Elephas maximus indicus: one gene and its partner. The protein of the gene in region 2 purifies or fractionates together with the protein of the main gene of each other region. This does not show direct contact. Links are inferred from orthologs where the notes say so. Each region holds a gene or a part of one and is shown on either strand. Other genes may lie near its edges.

Region 1 (8,081 bases), on a different chromosome or scaffold from region 2:
AGAGAACCCCAAAGATTTGACAAGAAAACTTCTGGAACTAATAGAAAGACTCAAAAGACTAGCAGGATACAAGATCAACATACAAAAATCAGTTGGATTCCTATACACCAACAAAGAGAACTTCAAAAATGAAATCAGGAAAGCAATACCATTTATAATAGCCCCTAAAAAGATAAAATACTTGGGAATAAATCTAACCAGGGATGTAAAAGGCCTATACAAAGAAAACTACAAAACACCATTGCAAGAAACCAAAAGAGACCTACATAAATGGAAAAACATACCATGTTCATGAATAGGAAGACTCAAATGTCAATCTTACCCAAAGCGATCTACAGATATAATGCAATTCTGATCCAAATATCAATAGCATTCTTTAAGGAGATGAAAAAACTAATCGCCAAGTTTATATGGAAAGGAAAGAGGCCCCAGAAGATAATGCATTATTGAAGAAAAGGAACAACGTAGGAGGCGTCGCACTACCTGATTTCAGAACCTACTATACAGCCACGGTAGTCGTAACAGCCTGAGACTCGTCCAACAACAGAAATATACTTGAATGGAACAGAATTCACAAGCCAGTTGTAAATCCATCCACCTATGGTCAGCTGATCTTTGATAAAAGGACCAAAGTCTACTAAATGGGGAAAAGACAGTCTATAACAAACGGTGCTGCCAAAACTGGATGTTCATCTGTTAAAAAAAGGAAAACAGGGCCATACCTCACGCCATACACAAAAACTAACCCAAAATGGGCCAAAGACCTAAATATAGAACCTAAAGCAATAAAGATCATGGAAGAAAAAATAGAGACAACACTAAGGGCCCGAATAAACACTAAGGGCCCGAATACATAGCATAAATTCAGTATAAACCATAACTAACAATGCACAAGCAGCACAAGATAATCTAGAAAACTGGGAGCTCTTAAAAATTAAACACTTATGCTCATCAAGAGTAAAAAGAGAACCTTCAAACTAGAAAAAATTTTTTGGCTACGACATATCCAACAAGGGTCTAATCACTAAAATTTATAGAATACTTCGATGCCTCAATAACAAAAAAACAAATAACCCAATTTAAAAAATGGGCAAAGGAGATGAACAGACACTTCACCAAAGAAGACATTCACCTGGCTAACAGACACATGAGGAAATGCTCATGATCATTAGCCATTACAGAAATGCAAATCAAAACTACAATGAGATACCATCTCACCCCGACATTACTGGCACAAAAAAAAAAAACAGAAAATAACAAATGTTGGAGAAGTTGCAGGGAGATTGGAACTCTTACGCACTGCTGGTGGGAATGTAAAATGGTACAACCACTATGGAAAAAGATATGGCGCCACCTTAAAAAGCTAGAAATAGAAATAGTGCAGTCCCACTCCTAGGAATATATCCTACAGCAAGGACCTACACGCACACATTCTTCATATAGTCCAGCTTCTCAGAGTATTCGCTCAGCGTACGGATGGAATAAGTATGGTGAAAGGGTACAAGCCTGATACACGCCTTTCCTGATTTTAAACCAATCAGCATCCCCCTGTTCTGTTTGAATGAATACCTCTTGGTCTGTGTACATGTTCCTGCAGTATGATGGATTGCTTTTGTGTGGCCTTTCTTGCCATGGTCTTATAACTCCCACCCAGGTGATTGGGTGGGACTGTGTGATAGGGTAATTGTGGCCCTCCAAAGCAATTGGTCAGTTTTGCCATCCTGCTGGGCTTGAAATGAGCCACTCCAAAGGCGGGAAAGAGGATCCCAGCGCCACCAAGGAAGAACAGCCAGGAGCCAGCTCTGGACCCATGATCCCTGTGCTGAGAAGCTCCCGGAAGCAGGAGCCGAGAGAGAGAGAGAGAGCTATAACCCTGAAGATGGTGAGAAGCGGTGGCAGAAGAGAAGCAGTGGAAGGAGAGACCTCACAGCAGATGTCACCACGGTCTTCCTGACCCACAGAGAGAGAAAGCTGAGCGCCTTTGGGCAGGGGCCTAGCACAGGGAGAGGTGTGCATGTGAACATGGCTGGGAAGAGGCTTTCCTGATGGAAGAACTGTATCCTTGAGTTTTCCTGAGTCTGAATTATAATCTGTTACTTCCTAAATAAACCCCATAATCATGAGTATGGTCTGTGAGTTCTTTGTAGCCATTGCATTGAATTATCAAACCCAGCAGAAAAGTAGAGAGTTTTGTGGGAGGGATGGTTGGTGTCAGAATTGGTAAAGATGGCAGAGAGAGGAGGCATGCCTGACCCCCACCTCATAGGAATCAGCCTTGGACTGTTGATCTTGGTTCTCCTTCCTCCTGGTGAAATTTGAGGAGGTTAGACACTGTCCTCACACTATTTTTGCAGTTCCTCATGAGCACAATTAAGTGTTCCGGAACTTCCATTCTCCAAAATGTTATTCATAATTTGTTATGATCCATACAGTCTTTGCATAGTCAATAAAACACAGGTAAAATCTTTGTGGCATTCTCTGCTTTCAGCCAAGATTTATCTGACAGCAGCAATGATATCCCTCATTCTACATCCTCTTCTGAATCCAGCTTGAATTTCTGGCAGTTCCTTGTTGATGTACTGCTGCAACCGTTTTTGACTTACCTTCAGCAAAATTTTACTTGTGTGCAATATTAATGTTATTGTTTGATAATTTCTGCATTTGGTTGGATCACCTTTCTTTGGAATAGCCATAAATATGGATGTCTTCTAGTCAGTTGGCCAGGTATCTGTCTTCCAAATTTCTTGGCATAGACAATGAGCACTCACAGCATAGCATCTGCTTGCTGAAACATCTCAATTGGTATTAGCTTTTATTATTACTAATTCATTGGTATCACCTGCACAGTTATAAGAAGGCTGAAGTATAAGTTATCTATGCAATGCGAGCAATGCAACAGGATCTTCAGATCCAGGATCCATTTTGGTCTAGTATTGCTGATACTAACAAGGGTATTAAATTTTCAGTGTTTCTCAAGGGGAGAGAGTTGGCATCAGGTAGGGGGAGGGATTCATTGTATAGGGCTGTGCTGGACTTAGAAATACATCTATTATCTCTGGTTCCCTCCCCCCACAAGTAATAGCACTCCCTCAGCCATTACAATAACCAGTCTGATACACTTCCAAGCACCTTCCTCCACAAAAGGGTAGTTCTAGGTTGAAAACTAATGTAAGGGCAATTTTATAAGAAAGCATCATTAAATGTTGCCATAAAGCTACCTCAATAGGTACAATGCGGTCCAAATTACTTGACCCTAACAATCAAGGGCAGTTGATTAAAAATAATTATTCTCAGATTCCTCCCCTAGAATCCCATTCCGTAGGCCTGGGGTGGAGATCCAGGAATTTCTACTCTTCAGCACCCAAGGTGAGCCTTTTGCTCATTCAAGTTTGGGAAACACTAGGTGAGAAAGATACTGAGCCACACACGCATTTATACAAAGTTCACCACACTGGGACAATGGCTCGCCAAAGCTCTTTGAAATCTTGTTTGGAACTATTTTATAACACAAGGTGTTTTCTTGATCACACAGTAATTGCAAGTGGGAATCTGGAGTCATGGGAGAACTCTTCCAAAACTTTTTATTTTGGCTCATATTATTACTTTAAATGACATGCTCCACGGTGTAAAGTAGCTTCATTTATTTTTACCAAATATTCCTCATACTTCAAGCAAGGATCTACACACACACACACACACACACACACTTCTAATCTATCTGGGATTAATAAAACGTCCTTGTCTCAAATTCTGTAGATATTTTAGCATCTCTGCCTTCTTTTTTCGGACAAAAAGTCCGTCAAAGAGAGTGCTCTTGATTCCTTCCTCCAACCCTGGCAGGCTGTCTTCCTGTGAGGTGGCAACTAGTCCTGCATGCCATATTCCAGGAGCGCAAGCACCAGAATTTGGTACCAATGGTCAATGATGCTTTATGTTGTTTACAATCCCCTGCCTGTCAGTGTTCTCTCCCCTCGCCCCCTACCACCACCAAGCATATAGAGCCCAGGGACTACACGAGAGCAGACACGGGACTGTTCTCCTTTTAACTCTCCAACTCCTCAGCTATCTTGGCAACTTGGCGTTAAGCGCCCCTCCTTCTCTTCGCTGGCAAAAGTCTCTTCCCTAAGCTCACTCTGTACACTCGCAACTTTAGCAAAATGACAGCAGACACGCTTCTGAGGCGGGGCAAGCATTTCCCTCCCTTAATAAGGCGGAACTAAAATGAAAGTGTGCCGGTTGTTGGTAAATGAGCTCCCTGTTACCATGGTAAAAACCGCTGCTGCCATCTTTATTGTGGTCGATGATACCTCGACTTAAGAGATAATGAGTAACAACAAGAATTCTACAGACTAAAACCTTCAAAGTCGCCTGGATCCGCCATCTAGACCAGAACGATATTATCTGGCGGTAGCCAGACGACGAAGGCGTTGTGCCACTCACGGCCCTAACGAGAGCTTGCGGATGACGGAACGACGCCTGGGGACGGGCTCTGCGTCCGCCGGCCCAGGAGCTTCCGGCTCACGCGCCGTACGGAAGCGAGTTCCGCGCTGGGCTCACGCGCCGTACGGAAGTGTGTTTAGCGCACCGGAAGCCGCCTGAAGAGAGCGATGGCGGGTTTGACTGTGAGGGACCCTGCGGTGGATCGTTCACTACGTTCTGTGTTCGGTGAGAGGAATTCGGTGGAGCCCAGCGTCTGGGAAGGGCAGGAAGAGGCAGGGAACGGCGAGGAACGCCCCCTGCAACTCTCCCACCTCATGAACCGGAGCCGGTGATAGGTCGGGCGTCGAGCTCTACCTGCTTATCCTGTGGGCGGTCAATCTGGTAGATTTGTAAGCAAACAGATGCTTCCCGTACCGCGATGTCCCGCAGCCTTTCTGCGATATTGTTGAGGGAGTTAGGCGAGCGTTCAGCTTCTATGCGTTTCTCCTTTCACGAGCTTCAGTTATTATCTGGAAGCGAGAGCGCATGGCGACAGTCCCTCACTGTCCCGTACTACCTGCTCACCCCCTATTCCAGAATGCAAATTAAATGCTGAGGGGGTAGATCCCTATGTCCACTTTCCGCCCTCTGATAAGGATTTTCTTTCTCTGCTTTTTACCGGTAACATTGCAGTTCATCATAGTGGTAGCGGCCACCTGGTGTCCTGAGGTGGATTATAAATAAATGAATGAATGAATGAATGAATGAATAAGACCTCGTCGAAGGAATTCTGAAGAGGATTGAATCTATTCTGAGTAAATTTTTCGGCCGAAATAAGTTGTTTTTCAAAGCATGTGTGGTGATTTTAAAGCACTTTTTGAAAAGGAACTTGACAAAACAATTTAGAATAATTTTTAAATATACTCCACTGCATTCTTGGACTTTCCTAAGTGTGTGTGTGTGTGTGTGGAAATGCAGACATTTGAGCTTGTTATAAAAATTATATTTTCAGTAGTTACCAACACCCAAACTCATTGCTGTCAAGTAAATTTGGGCTCATAGCGACCCTATAGGACAGAGTAGAACTGCCTCACAGGGTTTCCAAGGAGCAGCTGGTGGATTCAAACTGCTGATCTTTTGGTTAGCAGCTGAGCTCTTAACCACTGCACCACCAGAGCTCCATTTTTCATAGTGAGAAATAACACTTGCAGACTTTCAGGAAAATACCTATGCCTTAGTATTTATTTTCACTGAAGTTAAGGAAAATCTAACACTTGTCATATAAGTCTGAAAACTAACATTTAGGAGTGCCTACACCTTTTTTGGAAACCCCGGTGGCGTAGTGGTTAAGAGCTACGGCTGCTAACCACAGGTCAGCAGTCCAAATCCACAGGCTCTCCTTGGAAGCTCTATGGGGCAGTTCTACTCTGTCCTATAGGGTTGCTGTGAGTTGGAATCGACTCGACAGCAATGGATTTGGTTTGGTACACCTTTTATTGAGTTTCCTCGGTGGTTTACTTCATTTTTGTCAGCAGATAAGATTGGAATCTCGTCTGAAGGAGTTCCGTGGAGCAAGGATTTGAAGAACACTGTATTTTGAGCCAATTGTTACATACCCAGTGATATAAGTAGATAATGTACTGTTTACATTTTCACTAAAGACCTAGGTTACAAACTCAGGATTTTAATATGTCACGTATTTTTTTCCTTAGTGGGGAACATTCCTTATGAAGCTACTGAAGAACAGTTAAAGGACATCTTTTCTGAGGTTGGACCTGTTGTTAGTTTCAGGTGAGGTCCCCTTCTTTTGCCTCTTAGTAGGGGGTTTCTTCTTAAAAATTGCCACAAATTTGGCCATTAGGAATAATGAGAAGTTTTTTTTTTTTTTACTGGTGATGTTTTACATGCATTCTTTTTTTTTTTTAGGGCAGCTTTACTGAGGTATAATTCACATACCATACAATTCACATGCATTCTTATCTAAGAGATATATATATTTTTTTTTCATTTAAAAAAATGCTTAAAAAGATTTTAGTGAGGCAAAGTCAGAATTGTAAAGTTTTATCCTATGGTTGGCCAAATTAGAGAGTGGAAATGCTAGCAAGAACCCTGTATTTGTAACATTTGTGTCCGATTATTTGTAACATTTGTGTCCGATACTTGGTTCTGTTCACCAGGTTGGTATATGACAGAGAGACAGGAAAACCAAAAGGTTATGGCTTCTGTGAGTACCAAGACCAGGAGACGGCCCTGAGTGCCATGCGGAACCTGAATGGGCGTGAATTCAGTGGTAGAGCACTTAGAGTAGATAATGCTGCTAGTGAGAAGAACAAAGAAGAGCTGAAGAGTAAGTATAAATTCAGGTTTTATGAAATACAGGTTAGTAAAAATGTAACAGTGAAAAATTTCCATTTAGAGTGTATTCTAGAATATGCTGGAGTAGTTAGCGACACAATTTCTTTATTTGATTGACTTGAGGAGCCTGAGTTATGGAAGTAAATATCTTTGAGAAAGAAGGTAGAGTTGACATTGAGAGTCCTTCAGTTGCCAAGAGGGGAATTGATTTCCAGCTAGAGGTGAAGTTATTCAGGCTCACCAAGCCATCAGTAGGTGCGAATCATGTTGTTAGCATTTGCCACTCATATGACTATATTGTCAGATCTATAACTGGTGGGGTAATAAGGCATTCTTGTGTTTTTTACTGTGAAGTAATAGATCCAGAAATCCCATTTTTAAATTAACATCTTTTTTCTGTTTAAACCTTTTGCTAGTGCAGCGTTTTGTCAAAAGTTCATATGCCTAGTTTCCTACCTTAGTTTAACTTTGTCCATCTATGTGATCATGGTCCCCTTTTTCCTCTGAGAACAGAAAATACACTCTGTTACTTGCCTCCACAGAAAGAAAAGATTAGCAAATCACTTATTTGACAGTTCCGGAGAATTTTTAAGTTATCAACTGGTCCTTATGGTAGCCCTGGAAAATAGATACTTGAAGTGATTTAGCCCTTTATCTTATCTCCTTAACTTTCTTGTACTTTATTCCTGACCAGGCCTTGGCACCGGTGCCCCTGTCATTGAGTCACCTTATGGAGAGACCATCAGTCCTGAGGATGCCCCTGAGTCCATTAGCAAAGCAGTTGCCAGCCTTCCACCAGAACAGATGTTTGAGCTGATGAAACAAATGAAGGTAGGATGAGGCATTAGGTTATGACCAAATCATATCACCTCAGATTTTTAAGGAGTGATTGATTGACAGTGGATATGGTTCCCTGAGTTCAAATACGTGTGCCTGTAGACCATCATTTCCTGCACCTTCAATATTCTGTATACACATAGTGTATTTTACATTTTATGCAAAGAGGTTCCCATTTCTGTACACAAGGAAAAACACCTATACAAACAATCTGACTGGGTTTTGTGGCCCATAGAAATCAGATGTAGATGTTAAAATGTGGGGTTTTGTCCCCTAAATGACAGTATTATGGTATTTGAAATGCCTCTTTTCTTGCCTGCCGTGACCGAGATTTTGTGTGCTATGCAACAACCAATGATACCTTAAAGAGCCTTTTGAATATTACATTTCTTGGATGGGAATGACACTAAATCACTTACCGACCTCTAAGTAGTCAGTATTGGACCTGATGATGAAATCTGCATATCTCC
Region 2 (8,069 bases):
CGGAGGAGTGGGATTTCTGGGTTGTATGGTAGTTCTATTTCTAACTTTTTAAGGAAATGCCAGATCGATTTCCAAAGCGGTTGTACCATTTTACATTCCCACCAGCAGTGTATAAGAGTTCCAATCTCTCCACAGCCTCTCCAACATTTATTATTTTGTGTTTTTTGGATTAATGCCAGCCTTGGCAACAGGTTTTTAATAAATTATCGAGAATTAATTTTTAAAAGGGAATGAAAAGATAGAAAACACACACATACATACTCAGCAATGCCACAGTAGATCTGAATATTTACTAAGTGGCTTTATAACAGATAAGGGAAAAAGCAATTAATTTTTATAGAATGACTACTAGGTAGCAGGGCCATGATATATTCCTAGATTAAAAAAAAAAACTCATTGCTGTTGATTCCGACTCAGTGACCCTATAGGGCAGAGTAGGACTACCCCATAGAGTTTCCAAGGAGCACCTGGTGGATTCGAACTGCCCACCTTTTCATTAGCAGCTGTAGCACTTAACCACTGTGCCACCAGGGTTTCCATATTTCTAGATATATAGTATATTCAATATTTCTCGTGAATAATATTGAATATACCATGGACTGCCAAAAGAATGAACAAATCTGTCTTGGAAGAAGTACAACCAGAATGCTTCTTAGAAGCAAGGCTGGAGAGACTGTGTCTTACATACTTTTGGACATGTTGTCAGGAGGGATCAGTCCCTGGAGAAGGATATCATGTTCGGCAAAGTACAGGGTCAGTGGAAAAGAGGAAGGCCCTCAGCGAGGTGGACTGACACAGTGGCTCCAACAATGAGCTCAAGCATAACAACAATCATAAGGATGGTACAGGACCAGCCAGTATTTCATTCTGTTGTGCATAGGGTCACTATGAGTCAGAACCAACTTGAAGGCACCTAACAAGAACAAGACATATAGTGTGAAATAACTATTATTTTATACCTAAGAAAAATGGGGCTCAAATAGCTTAAACCCAGCTATTAAATGCAGAGGTGAATTCAAATTCAAGTCCTCTCCAAAGCTCTGGCTCCTTCCTACATTATCGCACTACCTCTCTAAGAAGCCTCTCCCTGAACTGATTTTAAGTTCCAAGAGTTTCCCAAAGGCAGAGGAGGAGGAATAGGGGAGCCAGTTGTCATCATATGGAAGATAAATGCATACTAATTCAATAACAACATGGTCCAATTGTTATTTTTTGGTAAAATTCTGTACATAAAGATGAAATTTAAATATGTTCATTTGCAAATAGCCTAAAATGAATAAATCATATGCAATGGTTGAGAAGACATGACAAAACCTTATTCAGAGTAGTAGTACATTTCTGCCAACAAAAGTGCTTAGCACTAAATTTGCTTGGATCACGTAGATGGAATTTCCTGCCTCTCCTAAGACAGTGGTTCTCACACATATACAATTCTAATTCTTTAATTTCTCAAACTTTAATCAAATACCCATTATGTACCAGGCACTGGGTTAGGAAATGACCATGAAGTTAAAGTCATACGATTACTATATATTTCATAAAGGGCAGTATTACACAATGGTTTCCTTTGAATATCACTGGTCTAGAAAATTATGAGGTAAGTAAATTACAAGATAATTAAAGCATATAATTTACTCACCAATTATTTTTATATTTTTAGTTTACTGTCTACAATTGGGGTTCTCAAACTTGCCTGCACATCATATGTAGAGCCATTTTCAAAAATAGGGATTCCTTGGCCCTACCTCCACGGTGGGGCTGGAAATATCTGTAGCTGAAAGTATTCCCCAGCTGATTCTGATGTAAGTGGTACTTGGACATACAAACGTAAATGTATCCAATCTGACTTTATTTCTATAAGATGGTGGTTCTCTTGGTATTGTGCCTGCACTAAATAGTGTTATCTGCATTTAGATCTCTAAATATTATTTTGATGAATACTTACTTTTTAGTGGATACCGACCAAGTGTGCCCACCAAGTACTTACTGTCTCAACTTACTTGCTTTATAAAATTGAGCCAATCAACGATGGGGATAACAACATGTACCTTAGTCAAATAACGTAACCTTGAAAGAGGTATCAATTCTACCCTAAGCACAGCTGACTATTAGATATTATTCTGCACTTAACCAACAACAAAAAGTACTTGTTAACTCCTAGCCCAAGACTGGCTAAAATAAGCCCATGGTCACCTGTGGGCTATAAGCCATCACGGCTGGTACTTTTTTTCGGGGAGGGAAACCAGACCCTAAGGAATTGGGTTTGTCTGGCTCTACTCCCAGCAGAAGAGATAAGACAAGGCTCTGTGGCTCTTGCTGCATTTAGGCTCTTCTAGAAATCCCAGATGCCAAAGGTATCTGGGTGTATCAGGGTTGTATGCTTTCACCATATTTATTCACTCTTTATGCTGGGCAAATAACCAGAGAAGCTGGACTATATGAAGAAGAATGGGGATTCAGGATTGGAGGAAGACATTTTATTCTGATTGTACAGTTTAGAATTTAGTAGACTTTGGGAGTCGTTGCACTGAACACGCTTTGTTTTATGGAGAGTGGATAACTAGAGATGACAAAGCTTTATGGACGTAAGTGAGCTAGAACGATGGAAAGTGGACTGTAGGGAAGGGGAGCCAGGTGCTCCGGTTCTTGGGCCCAAGACATAAGTGAGCTTGATCTGATGGAGAAGGGACAAAGAGGACTGGGAACAGGCTCCAGTGAGGCAAGCCCAGGTTTTGGATAAGGGAGGATCAGCAGTAGGATGACTCAGGGGAGAAAATAAAGAACCAATTGCTGTAGGGGACATCCACACACGTGCCTGTGACATAGCTGTGTATGTGCTTTTACTAATTTGCAACCTGTCATTCTGTCATATGGCAACATTAACATACATTATCAGATATAGGCCTCTGTAACCCATTGTATTTACCATTAATATTATCCAGATGCTTACACTGTACAAGAAATTAGTGTCTTTTTTATGAGTACCTTCAAGAAAAACATTTTTTTTTTTACTTCAGATCTGAAAATAGCTATGGCTTTCCCGAAAAAAATTAATTTTTTTATCTCACGGACTGCAGGAATCATGTACCTGATCATGTATCCTTCCATACCAAAATGATCCAGTTTTTTGGGTTTTTTTTGCCCATCTCTAGCAATATGGCTGCTAACCAAAAGGCCAGCAGTTTGAATACAGCATCTGCTCCCTGCAGGGCAGCTCTACTCTGTCACTGAGTCAGAATCAATTGGACAGCAAAGGGTTCTAGCAATAGCAGACTCTTTTTATAGCACTCTGTGTCAGGCATAGTTCTTACTGTTTTTCATATGCATCAGCTCATAATCACAACACTATATTTGTATTAACTCATATAATACCCACACTGTTCCCTATGTTTTTTTAGGATGAGGAAATCCAGGACAAATGATAAAATAACTTGTCTAAGGTCACAGATGCAGTAGGTGGCAGAGCTGGGATTAGTACCCAGGCATTTTGGCTCTTGTGTCTATGCTCTTTACTTGTGTTTTACAATAAAGCAGATTTTCTCTTAGAGTAAGTATAGAGGTAAGCACTGGTATTAATTAACCACACTTTTCATTCTATCTCATTTTTCTTTAGCCCAATTTTATTCCCACTTCTTGAAAAACAAAGGAGCCCTGGTGGCACAGTGGTTAAGAGTTTGGCTGCTAACCAAAAGGCAGCAGTTCGAATCCACCCGCCGCTCCTTTGGAAACCCTATGGGGCAGTTCTACCCTGTCCTGTATGGTCGCTATGAGTCAGAAGCGACTCGACGGCAACAGGTTTGGTTTTGGTTATGGTTAAAAACAAAAGTTGTATCTAGTATTTTTTGTATGTCACTAAAGATATTTATTTTTTAAGAAATAATATTCTACTCTCTAACTGGTTTTTACAGCCCTTTATATGTAGTATTCACAAAGTGCCGACTTAACCTCGAGAATGTGAACTCGAGATATGGAGCACTATCTTAATGGCATACACAACCTAGAAACCAAAAGCAAATTAAATACTGAGTTTTTAAAAAGTAAAAGGGTAAGTGCCTATTTTGTGAAAGAGAGTGAGAACAGCTTCCAATCCTAACTAACGACAATGGCCAAATCTGAGATGGTCGCAGAGGCACTCCACCCGTACTTCCGTCTCGGCATAGAACCCTGGCCCGCTTCGGTCTTCAGCCAGCGAGGGGGAGGTCACTGGGTGATCTCTCAAGACGTTTCCGGCCTTTATGACATTTATGACAGTCTCAGAGCTCCCCTTCCAAAAGCTGCCAGGCGGAGAACGTGAACGTAGGCGTCCATCAGAAGAAGAGGTCGTCGCTCGGAAGCCCGGCCGCTCCCGCCCCGGAGAGACTCAGCCACCCCACTACCACCAACCCCATCACCGCCAAGGGCTGTCATAGAAGACACCCCTACTGATATAGCACAACCGTGACCCGGCACGCACCCACCTGCGGTACCAACAACGATCCCAAGACCAAGGGCAGCCGCGAGCTCAGCAGCCTGCGCCGGCGGAAGCTGCAACGTCGGGCTCTACCATTTCCCGCTTCCGCACGGAAGAGAGGGGGTAGCATCTGGAAGTCATACCCCTTCTTCCTTTTCGCATGTGACTCTTCTCACATTTATTTCAGCTTTCAAACATAATGAATAATTTTGAAATAGAATTTCAGCCCAAGGTGACGAGACTTGTTGGTGTAAGTGCCTTCTCCTTCCTAGAGTTTCGTTCCCCCCCCAGAGATGGTATAATCCTGAGTCTCCCCGGCCTCAGCCGTTCCCCTCCAGTTCCAAGATGGCGGCCGCCGCTGAGGGGCTTCTGTCGGCGGATCGTCACAGTTGCTGTTGAGCGGGCACCACTTTTTCTAGCTCTCGAACCTGGATTCGACTAGGGGTTGGGAAGGGCAGTGGACGGCGTTGGGGGAGGACTGACGAGGCAAGTGAGGGCAAAAGAAAGGAGTGAGCCTTTGGATGAGGGAGGGGGCGTCCTCGGCCCTCAGGGAGAGCCTGGCCCCAACTCCGACCCAGCCTCCCTCGGGGACGTGCTCCCGGAGTTTCGGTTGAGCCAGTCCTGGTCGCTCCTGGCAGAAGCGCTCGGCGAGGGAACGAGAAGTGATTTCTTCGTGGGTCTGAAAGTGGCGGCTCCTTTGTGTCAGGCTGTGCCATTCACTCCCGTGCCTCCTTCTGGCGCTGCCTCTCCTCTGTCTGGGGCGCTGGAGGCGTTCATCCGGCGCCACGGTTAGCTCTTCCTCCGCGTGGCTACGGTGTTGTCAGCCTCCTCGCTCGGAGTCTTCCCGTCGTGTCGGGACGAGAGACTACGAGTCTGCTAAGCACTGGGCACGAAGTAGGCGTCCTTTTAGTTAACTGACTCCGAAGTTCTTAAAGATATTACTGCGCTTTCTTAATTGTCTCGGCCCTCCACCGTCCCCGACCGCTTTCACTCCTATCATTTCAGTATTTTAAGACCTCATTCTTTTTGACTTTGTGTGATTTTAACATGCTCTTTAGAAAACAGGAGGTCACGGGCAAGTCTGGCCTCCTGTGATCAGCCACACCTGAGTTACCATTTACTTATCCCCTGGATTTTCATTTACAGTCCCTTTGATCCTGTTGTGAAGCCACTGCTCTTCTGAAATTGACCAGAAAGAGACTTTCGCACCCCATGAGTTCCAGTACTAACCCGAACTCACCCCTTTGTTTTTTTCTGTGGATTTTGCATAGTTCCCCTTAGTCGTCATTTTCAGCATACAAGGTCGTTATTGAGAGAGCAAGTAACTGATACATATTTGGGATGAAGTCGTATCGACCAAATTCACAGCACTGAAGGCATTTATGATCTTGTGAGGATTCTTTTAGCGCACATTTGTGTTGTTTTGGGCACTGTGCTTGGTCTTGGAGAGAAAAGACAAACACTTTTACTCCTCTGTGCATTCAGTTTCATTCAACAAATGTTTTTTGTGCCTACTTTGTGCTAGGTAAAAATAACTAGTCTTTCCTGGGTGGCAAGGAGCTAATATTCCACTTTTGTGGTGAGGGGTCAAGAGGAATTTCTGAAACTCCAGGGGAGGCCATTCCTGGAAAAGTAACAAGTACAGGGATACAGAGACTTGAGAAGTTTTAGGTACTTAGAGTGGGGCAATAAATGTACTTGAACATGCAGTTCAAGGGTGGTTGGTGAAGGAAGAGGTAGGTTATCAATTCGTGAAGGGCCTTGATTTCCACCTTAGGACTTTAGGTTTTATTCAATAGTTAACAGGAATCCCATGGATCTTTTGTGCAAGGAGGGGACATGAAAATATTTGTTTTTGAGGATAGTCTCTCTGACAGTTGTGTGGAGGATCAACCTGGAACAGGGAAACTAAATGAGAGAAAGTTGCAGTTATTCAGGTAAGGTAATAGTAAATGCCTCAATTGTAGGGCAGTAAAAATATGAGGAGCCCTGCTGGTACAGTGGTTAAGCGCTCAGCTGCTAATTGAAAGGTCAGCAGTTTGAACCCACCAGCCACTCTGAAGGAGAAAGAAGTGGCATCGTGTGTCCATAAAGATTTACACCCTGGAAACCTTACGGGGCAGTTATACTACTCTGTCCAGAATTGACTCGGCAGCATCGGGTTTGGGTTATTTTTTTCTGATTAAGAATATAAGAGACATTTCTGAAGTGTCAATTTGATGGTAGGAGAGTGACTCCAGAGTTTTAGTCTGTGAGCCTAAGTCGTTGGTGATACCATTAAAGTCAAGTCTAAAATGTGTACATAAAAATAGAACGGTGCCGACCTGCACTTCAGCAGTGGCGGAGAACAGTGCCCAGCAGTCTCTGGCATTGACTTCAGTGTCTAGAGTCTAGACCTGCTCTGTGACAGAAGGCATATGTAGGTAGCTTTTGAGCACCAGAAACGTGGTTGGTTCAGATTGAGATGTGCTGTAAGTATAAATACACACTGGATTTTGAAGGCAGTAAAGACAAAAACAAAAAAAGTAAAATATTTCATTAATGATTTTTAAATAATACATGTGGAAATGATAATGTTTTGAATATATTGGGGTAAACAAATCTCTTTCACCTGTTTCTTTTCCTTTTCAATGTGGCTATGAAAAAAATCTTAAGCTGCATGTCGCTTGTGTTATATTTCTGTTGGACAGAGCTACTAGTCAAGACTAATGATGGGCAAATTGGTAACTGTAAAAAACCAAACCCGTTGCCATTGAATTGAATCTGGGCCTTGAGATGATGATGGTGAGCAGCGATGTCTGGGCAGTTTGCTGAAGTCCTCAGTTGCCAGCTAAGGCATTAGTTTTGTTTTTTTCAAGCAGTAAGAAGCCTTCAGAGATCTCTGAGCAAGGGGTAGTATGTGCAGGAGTCTTTCTGAAGGTTTAATTGGCAGCAGTGTTTAGGTAGAGATGAAGGGAGGAAAGGCTGGAGGCAGAGAAACAGAGAAACCTAAGTGTGAGGTAGAGAGGCCCTGCATTAAGGTACTGAGAGTAGGAACGGGAAGGGAGTGGTACACGTGCAAGGCATTTTGGGGGGAAAAACAATCAGAGGTTGATGACAGACTATCCAAGAAGAAGTAAAGGGAGGAATAAAAGATATAGAGTTTCAAGACTCAGTTGCTTAGATAATGACTCATGAATTGAGGTCAAAGAATTGTAAAAAAGTACATACGAGGCTTGGTTGCTCAGTGCTTAAGAGCTTGGTTGCTAACTAAAAGGTCGGCAGTTCAAATCCACTAGTTGCTCCTTGGAAGCCCGTCTCCACTTCTATAAGGTTGCTGTGAGTTAGAATCGACTCCACAGCAATGGGTACATTTAAGGCTAAAGAAATACAATCCCAAAATGGAAGCAGCAAAGTCGAGAGGAGAAGGTGGCCTGCTAAATATTCCCCCTTTTTATCTCCCTGCTTTCTGTATCTTATTCAGTCATTCATCTACACCAGATAATCTTCCTAAAATACACAATTACCTGTATCATGTCCTTTTCCTACTTAGTAATGGATCTTAAAATTCTTCTCTGTTCCTCATAGAAATTGGGTCCAAAGTTTCCAAGGCCCTTCGTTATTTCTGGCCCTTTTCTGT

What was found.
Region 1: the proteins of CPSF2 (region 2) and CSTF2 purify together in Homo sapiens (affinity purification with western blotting; 3 studies listed by BioGRID and IntAct, with this or other methods). This does not show direct contact. The link is inferred for Elephas maximus indicus from reciprocal best matches to the Homo sapiens genes CPSF2 and CSTF2.

What each region holds. Positions count from the first base shown.
Region 1 is NC_064846.1:57,411,301-57,419,381, reverse strand, and holds the start of CSTF2 (cleavage stimulation factor subunit 2), read left to right. Parts: upstream 1-4,550; 5' UTR 4,551-4,607; coding exon 4,608-4,665; intron 4,666-6,131; coding exon 6,132-6,210; intron 6,211-6,596; coding exon 6,597-6,766; intron 6,767-7,468; coding exon 7,469-7,605; intron 7,606-8,081. UniProt on the Homo sapiens protein: One of the multiple factors required for polyadenylation and 3'-end cleavage of mammalian pre-mRNAs. This subunit is directly involved in the binding to pre-mRNAs.
Region 2 is NC_064828.1:105,689,141-105,697,209, forward strand, and holds the start of CPSF2 (cleavage and polyadenylation specificity factor subunit 2), read left to right. Parts: upstream 1-4,779; 5' UTR 4,780-5,344; intron 5,345-8,069. UniProt on the Homo sapiens protein: Component of the cleavage and polyadenylation specificity factor (CPSF) complex that play a key role in pre-mRNA 3'-end formation, recognizing the AAUAAA signal sequence and interacting with poly(A) polymerase and other factors to bring about cleavage and poly(A) addition.